3 linked regions of the Saccharomyces cerevisiae S288C genome follow. The protein of the gene in region 3 purifies or fractionates together with the protein of the main gene of each other region. This does not show direct contact. Each region holds a gene or a part of one and is shown on either strand. Other genes may lie near its edges.

What was found. The genes of interacting proteins can lie anywhere in the genome.
Region 1: the proteins of FBP1 (region 3) and PAL2 purify together in Saccharomyces cerevisiae (affinity purification with mass spectrometry, with the first as the bait; one study listed by BioGRID). This does not show direct contact.
Region 2: the proteins of FBP1 (region 3) and YNR065C purify together in Saccharomyces cerevisiae (affinity purification with western blotting, with the first as the bait; one study listed by BioGRID). This does not show direct contact.

Annotation. Positions count from the first base shown.
Region 1 is NC_001140.6:295,866-301,731, forward strand, and holds PAL2 (Pal2p), read right to left. Parts: upstream 2,745-5,866; coding exon 2,620-2,744; intron 2,496-2,619; coding exon 1,520-2,495; downstream 1-1,519. Other genes in the region: hexose transporter HXT5, read right to left, coding at 1-582; SFB3 (Sfb3p), read right to left, coding at 3,280-5,866.
Region 2 is NC_001146.8:748,831-757,017, reverse strand, and holds YNR065C (uncharacterized protein), read left to right. Parts: upstream 1-3,317; coding exon 3,318-6,668; downstream 6,669-8,187. Other genes in the region: DSE4 (endo-1,3(4)-beta-glucanase), read left to right, coding at 1-1,272; YNR066C (uncharacterized protein), read left to right, coding at 1,983-3,293; YNR064C (epoxide hydrolase), read left to right, coding at 7,010-7,882.
Region 3 is NC_001144.5:873,246-876,528, reverse strand, and holds FBP1 (fructose 1,6-bisphosphate 1-phosphatase), read left to right. Parts: upstream 1-1,736; coding exon 1,737-2,783; downstream 2,784-3,283. Other genes in the region: translocon subunit SEC61, read left to right, coding at 1-793; PSY3 (Psy3p), read left to right, coding at 2,975-3,283.

The DNA of each region.
Region 1 (5,866 bases), on a different chromosome or scaffold from region 3:
TCCAATGAAATATTGATACCATTTGTCAATGGAGGCGATTTGGATGATGATCCCAATTGAGTAAATGACGACAACAGTCATCAGACCAATCTTACGTCCATACATATCACCGAGCTTTGACAAAACTATACCTCCGATAGCGCAGCCGATGTTGAAAATAGAAACCATCAAACCGGTTCTGACATCGGAAAGATAGGTAGTCCCGTTTGCACGGGTGCTGCCAAATCGCCTAATGAAGTCTGTTTGCCTGACAAAACCAGATATAGTACCAGTATCCCACCCAAACACGAACCCACCAAAAGCAACCATCAAACAGCAGACGGATACAAATAGTAAATCCGACTTCGATTTCTTCTCTAGTTGTTTGTCAACCTCCTTCTGAAGCTCTTCCAGTTCGTCTTTGGGAGGGCCTTCATGGGAAATGTAACTTGAGACGGGTTTAGCTTGTGCCAAATTATCGTTGTAACCGGCGGTACCAGGAGCAGTCGAGTTTCCTGACTTCTCGTTGTATGAGTTAGAATTTGTGCTCACAGTAGCAGACCCTTCCAAGGGGCCTTGATGAGCGTTTTCAAGTTCCGACATTCTTTCTTTACCTCTAATATATTCTTTTTTCTAGAAAAATAATATTTTTTGCTGGTTTTAACAAAGCTATGAAGTAAAATTGCAAAGTGAAAGCGAATCTTGTTTGCGTATATTATATATAGAAAAATTATTCAATCGACTTTTCTCTTTCTTTTGATAGTTTCTTATTCTTAGAGGGAGAACCGTTCGACTAGCATGAAAAGAAAAGAGAGAGACTCTTTTATACGTGAAATCAAAAAGAAACCAAACTTGAGGTACTCTACTAATGATTCTGGCCCTCCTTTCTTGTTTACTCCGTGCCCCTAAAACTAATTAACCCATGCCCATATATTCATCCACACGACCATTAATATTGAACATAAAGATATCATTTCACCAAGCAGTACTTCACTCAATAACAAGGTGTGAAATCCGGTATATTATTCCATCGCTATGAGTGCGGGATCAGAAAGTGAATTACTTACTGTCCCCTAATGTGCACAGCCACGGGGAATGCGGATCAACTGCAGAGAAAAGGGCGCACAGAGTTAGAATGCATCCCTTAATCCGGGAAGTAACAGTAACACGTCATGCGGATGTTTCTTCGGTGGGTATGGGTCACAATTTCGTCCACCAGTACATCACAGCATGCTCTCATTTCTTTACTTTTTGCTAGCAGATGATTACTTTCATTTCGGGTGGGATGGGCCACCTTTTTAGTTTATCCTCCGGGATGCCTTAAACAAGAAAATGGAACAGTGGGGATAAGACCCATAAAAAATCCGAAGTGATAAGTATTGATTGGTATATTCCCGTATCGGAGACCTTAACATAACATAGTGTAGTGATTTTGCGTATAGAAAAGTAACCAATAAAATAAGGTAAATATTGCTATATGAATGTAATAAATAAAATAATATATGGGCGCAACAAAAAGAACGCAAGAAAGAAGCATTGATCAGTGCTTTTTACTAGTTTTCAAGCTTTTCACCCTCCTTAATAGCTTGTTGCCGGTGTTTTCCTTTTTAACAACATCTTCGTGACCGCTTCCTTGGGTGGCAGTGACCGGAACAGAAGTTCTATTATCGTCTACGTCCTTTTGCTCCAAGTGTCCACTATGTGTTTTCACTAGCTTTAAATTGTTGTTGTTCACTTGTAGATGTCTTCTTGAGGGGAGAGACTTTTTTCTTGCTATGCTGTTTTTCCTACGAGATTCTTGTGCGTGGTTGATAACATCTTGCTCTATGGCAGCGGAAGACGCTGGTGCGCCATCCAGGAACGTCGTTGAGCCTAGACCCATCGTAATGGGCCCATGGACTAGTTCAGTTTTCATTTTGGAATCGAACTGGGTAATATTTTTTGAATTCGGTTTAATCGCATCCAAAGTCGTAGTACTGGAATTGGCCTTATTGAATAAATATGCTCTATCTTGTAGTTGGTTCAGCGTCTCAGAATCGTCGTCTACTGTTTCCCTACCAAACACCTCATCTAAGGTAGACTTCTTACTTGTGCGGCCGCCTACTGTATTATTTGGACCATCTGCTGGGAAGGCCAGTACAGGCGCCACTTTATTATTCTTATTTCTCTGTGGAGTGCATGCATCAAAGGGGCCGTCATGATGGAAAGATCCGCCAAATAATCCTGTAACATCCATCTTGTCAATAGTGTCTACATTTTTAGGGGGCTTAACCTTGGTTCTGCTTTTGCTCTTCTGCTTATCTTTGTCCCTATGTCCGTGTGATGTACGACGATGGTGGTGGTGGTTGTGTTGGTGACTATTTGAACCACTACTGCGTTTCTTTTCTTTTGGGTATGGAGCTTGCTGTTTCGGTGTCCCCGCAGCTTCTTCATATGATGGGAGTCTTTCTTGTCTAGAATTGGAAACGCTACTGTTATGGGCCCTCCTAGTGTCATCTTCATTTAAAAATGGGTTACTGCAATAATTATGGATTATCTCAATCGATTTTGAAAGGAGAAAAAGAGTTAAGTTAGTATTCTGAAGTAGTCATGACTGTTAGTTACACTGTAGTGCAATTTTGGGAGTGGAGCTACACATACTTATAATTCCTGGGCGTTTCATCCCTGCTTGATACTCTGTCCTCTGAAGGAGAAACTCTGAAGGGGTTAATCACTGTATTCACGCCATTTTGAGGACCGCCTATGGTCCTTCCTGTTTGATTCATTTGCGTCTGTTTGATATAGTATTCTTTGGAAAAAACGCTTCTGAAATACAAAATAGTAGTAATTTTGCAAGATTTACCAGAAGACAGTCAAGAAAAAATAAAGATAAAAGAGGAAGCAAAGCTACAGTTTTATCCCTGTAATTATGAGATTCTCTCATCCTATGTAGAATTTCACCCTTTCTCTGCCTGCGTTTCACATACTGCCTTTTTTTTTTTTTTGGCAGTATTCTCAGCATAGTCAGCGTTTCGCTGCCGAGAGCCCTTCTGTGGCTGGAACCCCACCAAAACACGAACCCAAAAATACTTCTCCTGTATTCCCCTTGATCAACGCCTTTCTACATGAGGAGGCGCAGGTGAATGCAGAAAGGCACAATATAGCCAACACGTAAAAATCACAATCATATCAGTCTATTCATTCATTTACGTATTTAATTATTTAGTAATGGATATACGAACCGCATCGGCCACAGCCACAACAATATGTCGTTATTTCCAGTTTTCTGCGTGTAAGCACAGGGTCTCCTTTGAGCGAGGCTCAAAACTGCACAAATTTTTGATGGATATTTTCGTGAGTTGCGGCAGTCGAGACTTTAATGAAATCGTCTTTTTGAAGTTTTTCTTGAATTTTTTTATGCATTATCACCAAGTAATTGTCATATGATTCGATTCTGTTGACGGTCTTGTCCTCGCAAAGCAATTGACTCATCACATTACTGTAATATTGATCAACATTAGGCCTCAACAAGACTAACGGCAATGATGACTTGTTGACTACTTGTTGCCAGTTTTTAATGACGTTTGAAGCCTTTTGATTAATACTAGTGCCCGTCTCAGGCAATGTTCCACTAAATAACGAAATTTGGCTGACGGGCAAGGATTCATCCACTGACAGCAGGTCTTGCAAGAGCATTCTATTGGTGTTCTCATTAAACCATAGATAGATAGTATCACCTTGGAAAATCAAGTAGCAACCGCCGTTAATGAAATTAGAGTGTGAGGCTCTTACAGATAGATTATTAATAGAGCTGGAGTTGATCTGTAATAATTTATCATTAGCATCGTAAAAGGTCAGATCAGTTTCCTCTAATAATACATGGAATGGCACAATTTGTGGATAAAGTTTGTAGCAAAGTTGTGCTGAGTTCAATGAATCGTACTTCAATAAATCATAAATTCGTTCATTACCACGGGTACTTTGAGCGTTTGGCTTCATTAATTCGCTTTTTTCAAATGCTAACATGTAAGCAGGCAATGTCTTTATAGAATCCGGCAGTATCAATTGCGTTGATGAGTTACTGCTAACCAATCCTCTATATTGGGTCAAGATTTCGACCATCTTGTCATCAATTAATCTTCTGATCTTTACAAAGTCACAATCACCGAGCGTCTTTATGACATCTTTGATCATTATTCTCATGACAGGATTTTGATTTATAAACTTGAAAATTTCACGAATGTTATTAGATACCGCACCTGACGTGTTAATAGAACGAACTTTTCTGACACCATCAATATCAGTATATAACAATGCAGTTTGGAAATGAACATCGGTTCCTGTTTTTATTTTACTGTCATATTTTAGTAAGACATCTAAGGTGGTATCTCTAGTCAATACAGGAATAATTGGATCATGATCCGTATTATCAGATGAATCGCAGTAGTACTGTTCCACAGATAGCCCAGTAGAACAGCGAACTTTCAATAAAGCTTGATAACCAACAATATTGGAGACATTTGTAACCATGTCGTTAACCAAAGTGAAGGCATCCGTCTCTTGTTGAAAGTGGGGATAATATTTCAAAATACCGGAAGTCATCTCTACAGGATGGCCCACAGTGGCCATATCAATGAATCCCGCATTGGTCACATATAAATCTAAAGAAATGTAGGATTTCAAAAAATCCGATGCTAATTTCTTATAGAACCCATTGTCGCATTTAACATGAGCAATGTGTGCATTGTCCCTTTTTAGCGATAAATTCCCGTTGCCGATCGTTGGCAAGCTGTTCAAAGAACAAATAATCTTACCACCTTGCCCGCCAGTTACTGTGTCTAACGCTAATTTTGCGGCTTGTAAAGCAGAACCATAACAGACTTGGGGTACGTGACTATACTTGTCGGTGGAGATGTAACCACTAATTTTTATCAATGTGTCATTAATGATTTTCATCGAGTTTCCGGGTTTAACAAATAATCCATTATAAAATGGTAAGAAAACATCGTCCAATTCACTTACAATGTACTCTTGTGCATTATCTAAATCTGGTCTCAAATTAAAGAACCGCAACTTATTATCATAAACGATTATAGCAACCTCACAATTTGGCTGGAAATCTGAAATATACTCAATACATGACCTGACACCTTCCACCATGGCTAAAGAACTTCCGTTCTCATTAGCTAACAATGAAACATCAATCAAAAACACGTAGTGTAGTGGTAAAAGCTCCTTCTCCTGAATAGCATTGTAAATACTTGGCACCAAGAAATCGACTGTTCCGTGCAATAACTCTGATTTTTCGTTCAAATCACTTCGTTGCCCATTGGGACCCATGGGCGCAAAATGCTCACCTGGAACTTGCATCTTAACTCTACAAATATTACAAATAACACTTGAATCATAAGTGAACTGAAATTTAGGATTAGCATACGCACGACAACGTCTACAACGCAAAGGCGTACCATCCATTGGTAATGGAATTGTGGGAACTTCTGCATCATTCGGTGTCAAAGTGGAAAATGGTTGGATGGTTAATCCAAGTGGTAGCTTCGTGGCGGCTCTCAAGTGTTCACTTTCGGGGATGTTGTACATGGATAAACTCATCAAGTGCGGATCACATGAACCTTGGTCAACACAATAAAACTGGGTGGTCGGCAAGGGCGGAACAGAATCTCTACAAGTTTCGAAAGATCGTTGTAAATATTGAGCTTGATCTTCAAATCTTTGAGTTGGAACAATGTGAGATGTAGGTTGAGGCGCTGTCATATCAAGCATAGATTGACCATATGGCGAGGAGGCCTCACTCGCACCGAATCGCTCTTGACTCACCATTACAGGCGTGGACATAACGGAACCCGAACCGTTGTTGAAGCCACCAAATTGCTTAGGGGTAAAGGCTTGA
Region 2 (8,187 bases), on a different chromosome or scaffold from region 3:
GAATCTTCATTTAGTGATATAATGCAAGACTACTATACCGGCATTCAACTCGCTTCTACAACTAAGGGTGTAATGAACGGTTATCTAACAACGAGCCTACAATTTTCCACATCTCTAAACAGACAAATATCTTGGTTACCATGGTCTTCTCAACTTGGCTCAAACCTTTTAGAGTATTCTAAAGAACAATTGCAATTATTAGCTGAAGTTGCCAATTCCGAATTACAGGTTAGTATTTCCGAAAGTATAAGCGGGTTAAACACATATTATTTGGGTAAAGTTATCGATAAGTATTCTTACATTCTATTAACGGTCTCCGAAATCATCCAAGATGAAGCCAGTACTAAGAGTACTTTGGAAAACATCAAATCGGCCTTTGATATTCTGCTACAAAATGAACAGACGTATCCACTAATTTACGACACAAAGTTCAACGGTTTGGTCAGTTCAGGAGATTGGGGTTCCACCAGCACGCAATACGATTTTGGTAACACTTATTACAATGACCATCATTTCCATTATGGTTACATTATTCATGCAGCTGCTGTCATCGGCTATGTTGACTCTAAACTGAATGGTACTTGGGCTGCCGACAATAAAGATTGGGTCAATTCATTGGTAAGAGATGTCGCAAATCCATCTGAAAAAGATGAATACTTTGCACAATCGAGAATGTTTGATTGGTTCAACGGTCATTCATGGGCAGCTGGACTTTATGAAAACGGTAACGGTAAGAACGAAGAAAGTAGTAGTGAAGATTACAATTTTGCCTATGCTATGAAGTTATGGGGGGCCACTATCGGTGACCAGTCAATGGAATTGAGGGGTGACTTGATGATTAGTATAATGAAGGATGCAATGAACGACTATTTCTATTATCAAAATGACAACACAGTTGAGCCTGAAGAAATCATAGGAAATAAAGTGAGTGGTATTTTATTCGATAATATTATCGATTATACTACTTATTTTGGAACAAACACAGAATATATCCACGGTATTCATATGCTACCTATCACACCAGTTTCTTCTAATATTCGTTCTGAGACTTTCGTCGAAGAAGAATGGCAGACTAAAATCGAGCCAATTATTGAATCGATAGAAAGCGGCTGGACAGGCATATTGAAGCTGAATCAAGCACTCTTCGACCCAGTAGATTCGTATGCATTTTTCAGTGATTCAACTTTTGATTCATCCACATATTTGGATAACGGAATGAGTCGCACATGGGCATTAGCATTTTCAGGGGGACTGGCCAACTCAATTGCTTAGAAAGAGAACTTGGCAAGCAGGTCTGTCGAGTCTTTCCCACTACATACATATTTTATAGAATAAATCATTTTTACTTAACTTGAAAGTTGTTGCGTTCGAAAAGACCACGGCTAACGGAGACCACTTAGGTAAATGCATGCCAGTAAGAGGTATATTAGTACTTTAATGAATGAACTTAGCAAGGTAATGCCTGCACTAAAATAAAATTCTAACGTCATCCTAAGAAGCATCAATTGGACATAGTGAGGAAAAGTTTTCACCATTTAAAATTTGTTTTGCAGAATACCATTCTAGACTATGATCCCTTAGAGATTCTCATTCTTTAAATATCAGCTTCAACAGCATATCTTTATAGTATTATCGTACTACTGGCGACATTAGCAAATCAAAGTATTTTTGCTCAGTTTCTAGTTTTATCTGTTTGATTCCCCATTAGATGGTAAACACGTTGTCTTGATGACTGAAAAGGAAGTGAACATGGTCAACTCAAAATAACCAGACTCAAAATAATTGCAATTACCTAGGCTAGATATTTTTAGAATATTATGAGAATATTTTTAGAATATTTGCAACCCAAAATATATTTAAATGCCGCCAATTTGCAACCAAAAGATTATCCGCTACCTTTTTTTTAGTCATTGAATCGTAGCATAAAGTTCCGAGCTTTGAAAAAAAGCTTTGAACTAAGAAAAGGTAAGAGATCCTCAATTATGATATTACTCCAAGTCATATGCACGATTTGGACATGTCTCTTTATTCCGTTACTCAATGCAGAGGAATTCGTCCCCAAAGTAACGGAGACTCTTTCAGAATATTCATTTAGTCTAGAGAGCTTTGACGATTCCAACAGTTTAATCAGATTAGATAATCAAGTCGTGTGGATAAGTTCCGATTCTGGAGAAAATTGGGAAGCGGTCAAAGAAATTGAAGGGCATATTCTCGAATTAATTGTTGATCCTTTGCATGGACAGGACAGGGCTTTTGTTTCGATACATTTATCACCCAAATTTTACGTCACCGATGATCGTGGAAAATCATGGAGGGCTCTGACTATACCCGTCTCTGAAAACTGTCGTTTGGGTACTTCTTGCTCTATAGCTACCCATCCGACAGATAAAAAGTACCTTATTGCAGATTGCCCTTGCTTTATAAACGACAATGGTTATATCCAAATACAAAATGAAACTTACTTTACCAACGATGGGGAATCCTTTTACAATATCGAACCTTCCTTGAAAAAGAAAGAAGATGACCATATAACAAGTTCAAGCTGCAACTTTGTCAAATCTAGCAAGGATTCTGATATTGAGGGTAACGACGCTTCGATACTATGTTTGTTCTCGAACCATGGTTACGATAGCGATCGTCACTTAAGTGCCGCATATACACAATTAGCCTTAAGTACTGATGGAGGTAAAACTTTCAAAAAATTTGATGAGTTTAATGATAAAATTATTTATCAATACAAGATATTAAAATCACATATAATCGTTTCGACACAAGATGATAGATACAATGAAATGTCACCCATGGACATCTGGATATCCAATGATGCGTCTACTTTTCAAAAGGCACGTCTACCTGCTCAAGTACGGCACGTCCATATGTATGGAATTTATGAAGATTCTATTGGAAGAATAATCATTCCTATATCTACGATATTCACAGATGAAAAAAACGACCAACCAGCTCCCTCAGAAATTTTAATATCAGATTCTCAAGGGTTGAAATTTTTACCTGTTGAATGGACAATAAATCCTCACTTTGGTTATATTGATATTGCTTCTCCTCATTTCTTAGAAGGAACAATAATTGGCTCGTTTCATCCTTCCTTTGACTACTCTCATAACAAAGGAAAATATAATAAAAAGATAGCCAGATATGAAACTAAAATATCTGTTGATAACGGCCTCACATGGTCAAATTTGAAAGTGGTTGACGAGGAAAATGCAGATTCATTCCCTTGTGATATCACTAGGCCTGAAAGATGTTCGCTCCAGAACCCTTTTTATAGTATCTAAATCTCAAATCCTACTGCCGGAATTATGTTAATGACAGGTTCCGTTGGCGACGGTAGTGAATTCGATTGGGAAGACCAAAAAACTTTCATCTCTAGAGATGGCGGTTTAACGTGGAGATTTGTTCATAATTCTTCTGGGTTATATGCTACTGGTGACCTGGGAAATATTATTGTGTATATCCCATATGATCCAGAGGAAGATGGCGATTTTCAATCTGAATTTTATTATTCTTTGGACCAAGGTAGAACATGGAATGAATATGAGCTGACCAATGCCATAAGTTCTGTCCATCCCTACAAATTGATAAATCCAACACCAGATGGATCTGGCTCAAAATTTATTTTTAAAGGAACGTTTGCCACTACCGATTCCGAAACCAACAGTATAACTTCTTTAAAAGGTGTCGAGTATATAATTGATTTTTCAGCAGCATTCGACTCTAGAACGTGTGAGGAGGAAGATTTTGAAGATTGGGATTTGGCGGATGGGAAATGTGTTAATGGCGCCAAATACAAGTATAGAAGGAGGAAACAAGACGCCCAGTGTTTGGTAAAAAAAGCATTCAAAGATTTGAGTTTAGATGAAACGCCTTGTAATAGTTGTGGTGAATCCGACTACGAATGTTCGTTTGAATTTGTTAGGGACGCAAACGGCCTGTGTATACCAGATTATAATCTGATTGCCTTTTCCAACATATGTGACAAATCGAAGGATAAATCTGTGTTAGTAGAGCCATTACAATTAATCAAAGGTGATGAATGTAAAACACCCATGAAAATTGAACCCGTTGATATTCCGTGTGACGAAATTCCAGAGGAGGGTTCGAGTGACAGGGAAATAGTGACCACTGAAAACAAATTTGACTTCGAAATTAAATTTTACCAATACTTCGATACAGTTGCCGACGAATCTTTGGTCATGCTGAATTCGATAGGAGACGCCTATATATCCCACGATGGTGGACAAACAATAAAAAGGTTTGACACTAACGGCGAAAAAATTGTTGAAGTTGTGTTTAACCCATATTTCAATTCTTCAGCATATTTGTTTGGCTCTAAAGGTAACATATTCTCAACACACGATAGAGGACACTCTTTTATGATAGCTAAATTACCTGAAGCCAGGCAATTAGGTATGCCACTAGATTTTAGTGCTAAAGCACAGGATACTTTTATTTACTATGGTGGCAAGAATTGTGAATCAATCTTAAGTCCAGAATGTCATGCAGTAGCATACCTCACCAAAGATGGAGGTGAAACTTTTACAGAAATGCTTGATAATGCAATTCATTGTGAGTTTGCAGGCACACTCTTTGAATATCCGTCAAATGAGGAGATGGTTATGTGCCAAGTAAAAAAGAAGTCTTCAGAAACAAGAAGCTTGGTTTCTTCGATAGATTTTTTCCAAGGTGATAATAAAATTATCTTTGAAAACATTATCGGCTACTTGTCCACTGGTGGCTATATTATTGTTGCCGTACCTCATGAAGACAATGAGTTGAGGGCATATGTAACTATTGATGGTACTGAGTTTGCCGAGGCAAAATTCCCGTATGGTCAAGATGTTAGTAAGCAAGAGGCATTCACTATTTTAGGATCTGAGAAAGGATCGATATTTTTACATTTAGCAACAAACTTAGAATCAGGACACGATTTTGGAAACCTTTTGAAATCCAACTCGAATGGTACTTCTTTTGTCACTTTAGAGCATGCCGTTAATAGAAACACATTCGGTTATGTCGACTTTGAAAAAGTTCAAGGTCTTGAAGGTATTATTATTACCAACATCGTTTCGAATAGGGAAAAGGTTGGAGAGAACAAGGAAGACGAACAATTGAAGACGAAAATCACCTTTAATGACGGTTCAGATTGGAACTTTTTGAAGCCTCCAAAGAAGGATTCGGAAGGGAAAAAGTTTCCCTGTGATTCTGTATCATTAGATAAATGTTCTCTACATTTGCATGGTTACACTGAACGTAAGGATATCAGGGATACATATTCCTCCGGTTCCGCGTTAGGAATGATGTTTGGTGTCGGAAATGTTGGCGATAAGCTTCTACCATATGAGGAGTGTTCCACTTTTTTAACCACTGATGGAGGAGAGACGTGGACTGAGGTTAAAAAAGGCCCCCATCAATGGGAGTACGGTGATCATGGTGGAGTCTTGGTTTTGGTCCCCGAAAACGCAGAAACTGATTCTATTTCTTACTCCACCGATTTTGGTAAAACATGGAAAGATTATAAATTCTGTGGCGACAAAGTCCTCGTAAAGGATATAATCACCGTTCCCAGAGATTCTGCTTTGAGGTTTTTGCTATTTGGAGAAGCAAAAAACATGGGTAGTGGTTCATTCAGAACGTATACAATTGATTTTAGAAACATCTTCGAGAGGCAATGTGAGTTTGATATTACGGGTAAAAAAAGGGCAGATTTTAAGTACTCTCCTCTGGGTTCCAGAACTGGTTGTCTATTTGGTCATCAAACCGAGTTTTTACGTAAAACCGATGAAAAATGTTTTATTGGGAATATTCCACTTTCTGAATTTTCGAGGAACGTCAAAAACTGTTCATGTACGAGGCAAGATTTCGAATGTGACTATAATTTTTATAAAGCCAGTGATGGTACTTGTAAATTAGTCAAAGGCTTAAGTTCGGCGAATGGTGCCGATATCTGCAAAAAGGAACCCGACTTAATTGAATACTATGATTCCTCTGGCTATCGAAAAATTCCCTTATCAACCTGTAAAGGTGGGCTGAAATTGGATGCACATTTAGCACCACATCCTTGTCCGGGAAAAGAAAAGGCATTCAGGGAAAAATATTCTATAAACACCGGCGCTTATGCGCTGGTTTTTGTTACAATTCTTCTCGTTATTTTCTTTGCCGCATGGTTTGTATACGATAGAGGTATCAGGAGAAATGGGGGATTTTCAAGATTTGAAGAAATAAGATTAGGAGACGATGGGCTGATAGAAAACAATAGGACCGATAGAGTTGTCAACATCATTGTAAGACTAGGATTATGCATTTCTTTAATTACCAAGTCTGCATTTCAACGCACGAAGGCAGGTGTAGCACGCTTTTCTTCAAAATTAAGGGCAAGGTTTGGCAACAGAAAAGGTCCTACTTACTCTTCGCTGCTTCAGGGTCAGTTTTCAGATGAATCAGATGGCTTGCATGAAGATGCTAACGATTTATCCAGTTTCACAAGTCAAGACAGTAATTTTGAAATTGAACAAGAAGATGCTTACAGACCCGAACAAGAGCACACGTCACAGATAGACCAGCCTGCCACTAGCAATATTCCAGACGCATTGCCAGCACGTAGTGCTATTCACAAGCCTGATTCAACTGCTGTGCGCAACGAGGACGAGTAAATAGATTTTTTTAATAGACTAAATAATCGTATGTTTGCTAACAAAAAGTACGCATATGCATTTTCTCAATATTGTGCATTTTCTAAATCTCCATTCACCTTTGTTATTAACATAGTCATTTAAAGGTATGATAATTCAGTATTCATCTTTTCCACAGACGGCGCTGCATGCCATTCGTCTGTAACTTGCCTAGGGACTGCGCCGCACATAATCGTGACAGAAATTTCAAAAGTGATAGGAGCCAAAAGTGATAGGAGCCAAAAAGAACATATATAAGCACGATCAAATTAACTGAACTTGACCACTTTTCTTTCACTGTCAGAATTGGACGAAGGACAAAAATGTCAAATATCATTGCAAGATTTCACAAGATTCAAGTTCAAGACGGTGTAAAGGTTTGGTACCGTGAGGCCGGTGCAGCAGGTAACCCCACAATTTTATTGCTACATGGGTTCCCTACATCTTCCAACATGTTCAGGAACCTCATTCCCTTACTAGCTGGACAGTTTCACATCATTGCTCCGGATCTTCCTGGGTTCGGATTTACGGAAACGCCAGAAAACTACAAGTTCAGCTTTGATTCCCTTTGTGAAAGTATAGGATATTTGTTAGATACTTTGAGTATTGAAAAATTTGCCATGTATATATTTGATTATGGATCTCCGGTAGGTTTTCGGTTAGCCTTGAAGTTTCCCTCCAGAATTACTGGCATTGTTACTCAAAACGGTAATGCTTACGAAGAGGGTCTCGATGACCGCTTTTGGGGTCCGTTGAAGGAATATTGGAAGTCATATCAAAGTGATCCGGTATTTGTTAAATCCCTTATCCCGTACCTTGAAGATCCAGCTAATGTCATATGCCAGTACCATGATGGAGTACCAGCTATCGAATCTGTTGATCCCGCCGCTTATACGCTTGATATTGCGCTAATTCAGCGTACCGGCCAGACCGATATTCAATTGAGATTATTTTTCGATTATCAGAATAATATAAAGTTGTACCCAGCCTTTCAAAAGTTCTTGAGAGATTCAAAGATTCCTGTGCTAGTTGCATGGGGTGCGAATGATACTATTTTTAGCGTTGCCGGGGCTGAAGCTTATCGGAAAGACGTTGATAATTTAAAGGTTGTTTACTATGATACTGGCCATTTTGCGCTTGAAACTCACGTAGTTGCTATTGCCGAAGAAATCATCAGTATGTTTGCAGAAAATTAAAGATACTAAGTTCTTGTGACAATGTTTTCTGAGAAGAATCTCTCGTATTTTGTTTAATTGCCAAAAACACATATGTTTCGACTCACATAGAGTTGCCTCAGAGCGTTCTTTTGTTACCCATTATTGCTCATAAATAAGTCAAAACAGATGTCTGGTCGCATTATCAAGGGTTTGTACTGGTAGCCCGGTGACAATATATTAATCTAAGCATATAACATTTTTAGTAAGTTCTTCAGCCACCTTTTTTACGATCTATGTTGTTTTGAAGGGTAAACCTACTACCATGTCATATGGATCTTTCCCCT
Region 3 (3,283 bases):
CTTTTTCCATCTTTTGGCTGTCAGAAAGGACAAGAAAAGAGCCCTTGTCGAGGCCTTTTACCGTACCAATCTACCTAATATGTTCCAAGTGTTGATGACCGTGGCCATCTTCCTCTTTGTTTTATATTTACAAGGCTTCCGTTACGAATTGCCCATCAGGTCAACCAAAGTGAGAGGTCAAATTGGTATCTACCCCATCAAACTCTTTTATACTTCCAACACCCCAATCATGTTGCAGAGTGCATTGACTTCTAACATTTTCTTGATCTCTCAAATCCTTTTCCAGAAATACCCAACCAATCCATTGATTCGTTTGATCGGTGTTTGGGGTATCAGGCCGGGCACCCAGGGCCCTCAAATGGCCTTGAGCGGGTTGGCCTACTACATCCAACCATTAATGTCTTTATCCGAAGCTCTTCTGGACCCTATCAAGACCATCGTCTACATCACATTTGTTCTTGGTTCATGCGCAGTATTTTCCAAGACATGGATCGAAATCTCCGGCACTTCCCCACGTGACATTGCCAAACAATTCAAAGATCAAGGCATGGTCATTAACGGTAAGAGAGAAACCTCCATTTACAGAGAATTGAAGAAGATCATTCCAACTGCTGCTGCTTTCGGCGGTGCTACCATCGGTGCTCTTTCTGTTGGCTCCGACCTACTAGGTACTTTAGGTTCTGGGGCATCCATTTTGATGGCTACTACCACCATCTACGGCTACTACGAAGCTGCCGCCAAGGAAGGTGGGTTTACTAAGAACCTCGTTCCAGGATTTTCTGATTTGATGTGAATATAAAATGAAAATAATATCCAAAGAAAAAAAAAATCGCATTTAGCCACACCCCTCCCTCTATTTTTTTATTTTGTTACCATAGTTTTATCAACGCCTTCTTACACCTGTATAGAGCTAAATAACTATATATATGTATGCGCAAATAATTCCTAGAAAATCGTCGATTTTTATAAATTCTAACCGCCGATTAACAATATCATACGCGATCTAAATTTATAATAGGCGTGAAGCAAAGGAAGTTGATAAAAAAAAAGTAAAGAACTCCTCATAGGGGGCTCGAACCCCTGACATTTCGGTATCCTTGCTTAAGCAAATGCGCTTAAAAGCCGAACGCTCTACCAACTGAGCTAACAAGGATGAGTTCTTCGAATTTTCCAGTCTAAGATAGACAACCCATCAAACTGCATGGTCCCGGGCTAACTTCTGCTCTCTTTTCCGGACGGATGGAATCGCCGCTTTTGAATTCACCTCCGGGGTATTATTATTATTCTTAGTAGTCGCGGTCGTGCGGACACCCGGAGTTATGCGGGCCCGAAAGCTCATTATGTAGTAAAGCTAGGTAATGTTAAGGGCGTAAGAGCCAACGCAAGGCAGCAATAGCCTGGTATTCCCACATATCAAGAAAGCTTAAAAAGTTGAGACAGGGAATTTGAAGGCGAAGATTGCCGAACTGGCCAATACCCACTACTTTTTTTTTGGTTTGCTTGGTTTCTTCCTGTCGCTTGCCAACTTGTGGCATCTTCCCCACACTATATTATAAGGATCGTCCTATGTATAGGCAATATTATCCATTTCACTCGCTAACAAATGTACGTATATATATGGAGCAACAAGTAGTGCAATTACAGACGTGTATTTTGTCTTGATCTTGCTTTTTGTATGATAGGCCTAAGAATAACAGTGCGAACATATAAGAAACATCCCTCATACTACCACACATATGCCAACTCTAGTAAATGGACCAAGAAGAGACTCTACCGAAGGGTTTGATACCGATATCATCACTCTTCCTAGATTCATAATCGAGCACCAGAAGCAATTTAAGAACGCTACTGGTGATTTCACATTAGTACTGAATGCCTTGCAATTCGCGTTCAAATTTGTATCTCACACCATCAGACGTGCTGAATTGGTTAACTTGGTTGGGTTAGCAGGCGCTTCCAACTTCACTGGTGACCAGCAAAAGAAGTTGGACGTTCTAGGTGATGAAATATTTATCAATGCCATGAGGGCTAGTGGGATCATCAAGGTCCTTGTATCTGAAGAACAGGAAGACTTGATCGTTTTTCCCACAAACACGGGCTCATACGCAGTGTGTTGTGATCCTATTGATGGCTCCTCAAATTTGGACGCCGGTGTCTCCGTTGGAACTATCGCGTCTATATTCAGACTGCTACCAGACTCATCAGGTACTATAAACGACGTACTGAGATGTGGTAAAGAAATGGTAGCCGCTTGCTATGCCATGTACGGATCCTCTACGCATCTAGTATTGACATTGGGTGATGGAGTTGATGGGTTTACCTTAGACACAAACTTGGGCGAATTCATCTTGACTCATCCTAACTTAAGAATTCCGCCTCAAAAGGCCATCTACTCAATTAATGAAGGTAACACCCTCTACTGGAACGAGACTATAAGAACATTTATTGAGAAAGTCAAACAACCCCAAGCAGACAACAACAACAAGCCTTTCTCGGCTAGGTATGTTGGATCCATGGTTGCTGATGTTCACAGGACGTTTCTTTACGGTGGCCTTTTCGCATACCCTTGCGACAAGAAGAGCCCCAACGGAAAACTGAGGTTGCTTTATGAGGCCTTCCCAATGGCTTTCTTAATGGAACAAGCAGGGGGAAAAGCGGTCAACGATCGCGGAGAGAGAATCTTGGATTTGGTGCCAAGTCATATCCATGACAAATCTTCTATTTGGTTGGGTTCTTCAGGTGAAATTGACAAATTTTTAGACCATATTGGCAAGTCACAGTAGTTCAATGATCGCCTTCTTTTCTTATTTTCTTTGTTCTGTACTTTAGTACGCGAAAAAAAAAAATCTGTATATGTCCTTATATATATATATATTTATATATATATATGTGTATGTATGTGTACCGTAAGCATTACTCCTTCTAATAATGAAAATTCTTAGGAAAAGAGAAAGGAAGTAGCGAATGGAATGGGATGGAAGTTTTAAAGAACATTAGAATTTATCCTTTGTCAAACTTCATCACATCAACCAAGAACTATATAAACCTACCAAATGAATTAAGAAACCTAATTAGTGAAGAGCAGGAGAGTAAACTAGGGTTCTTGCACATCATTGAAAGTGATTTTAAACCTTCGGTAGCGCTGCAAAAGTTGGTGAATTGTACTACGGGGGACGAAAAGATCCTAATCATAGATATAGTATCAATATGGTCCCAACAAAAGCAAAGACAGCATGGCGCGATCTACATGAATTCGCTATCTTGCATAAACATCACGGGATTA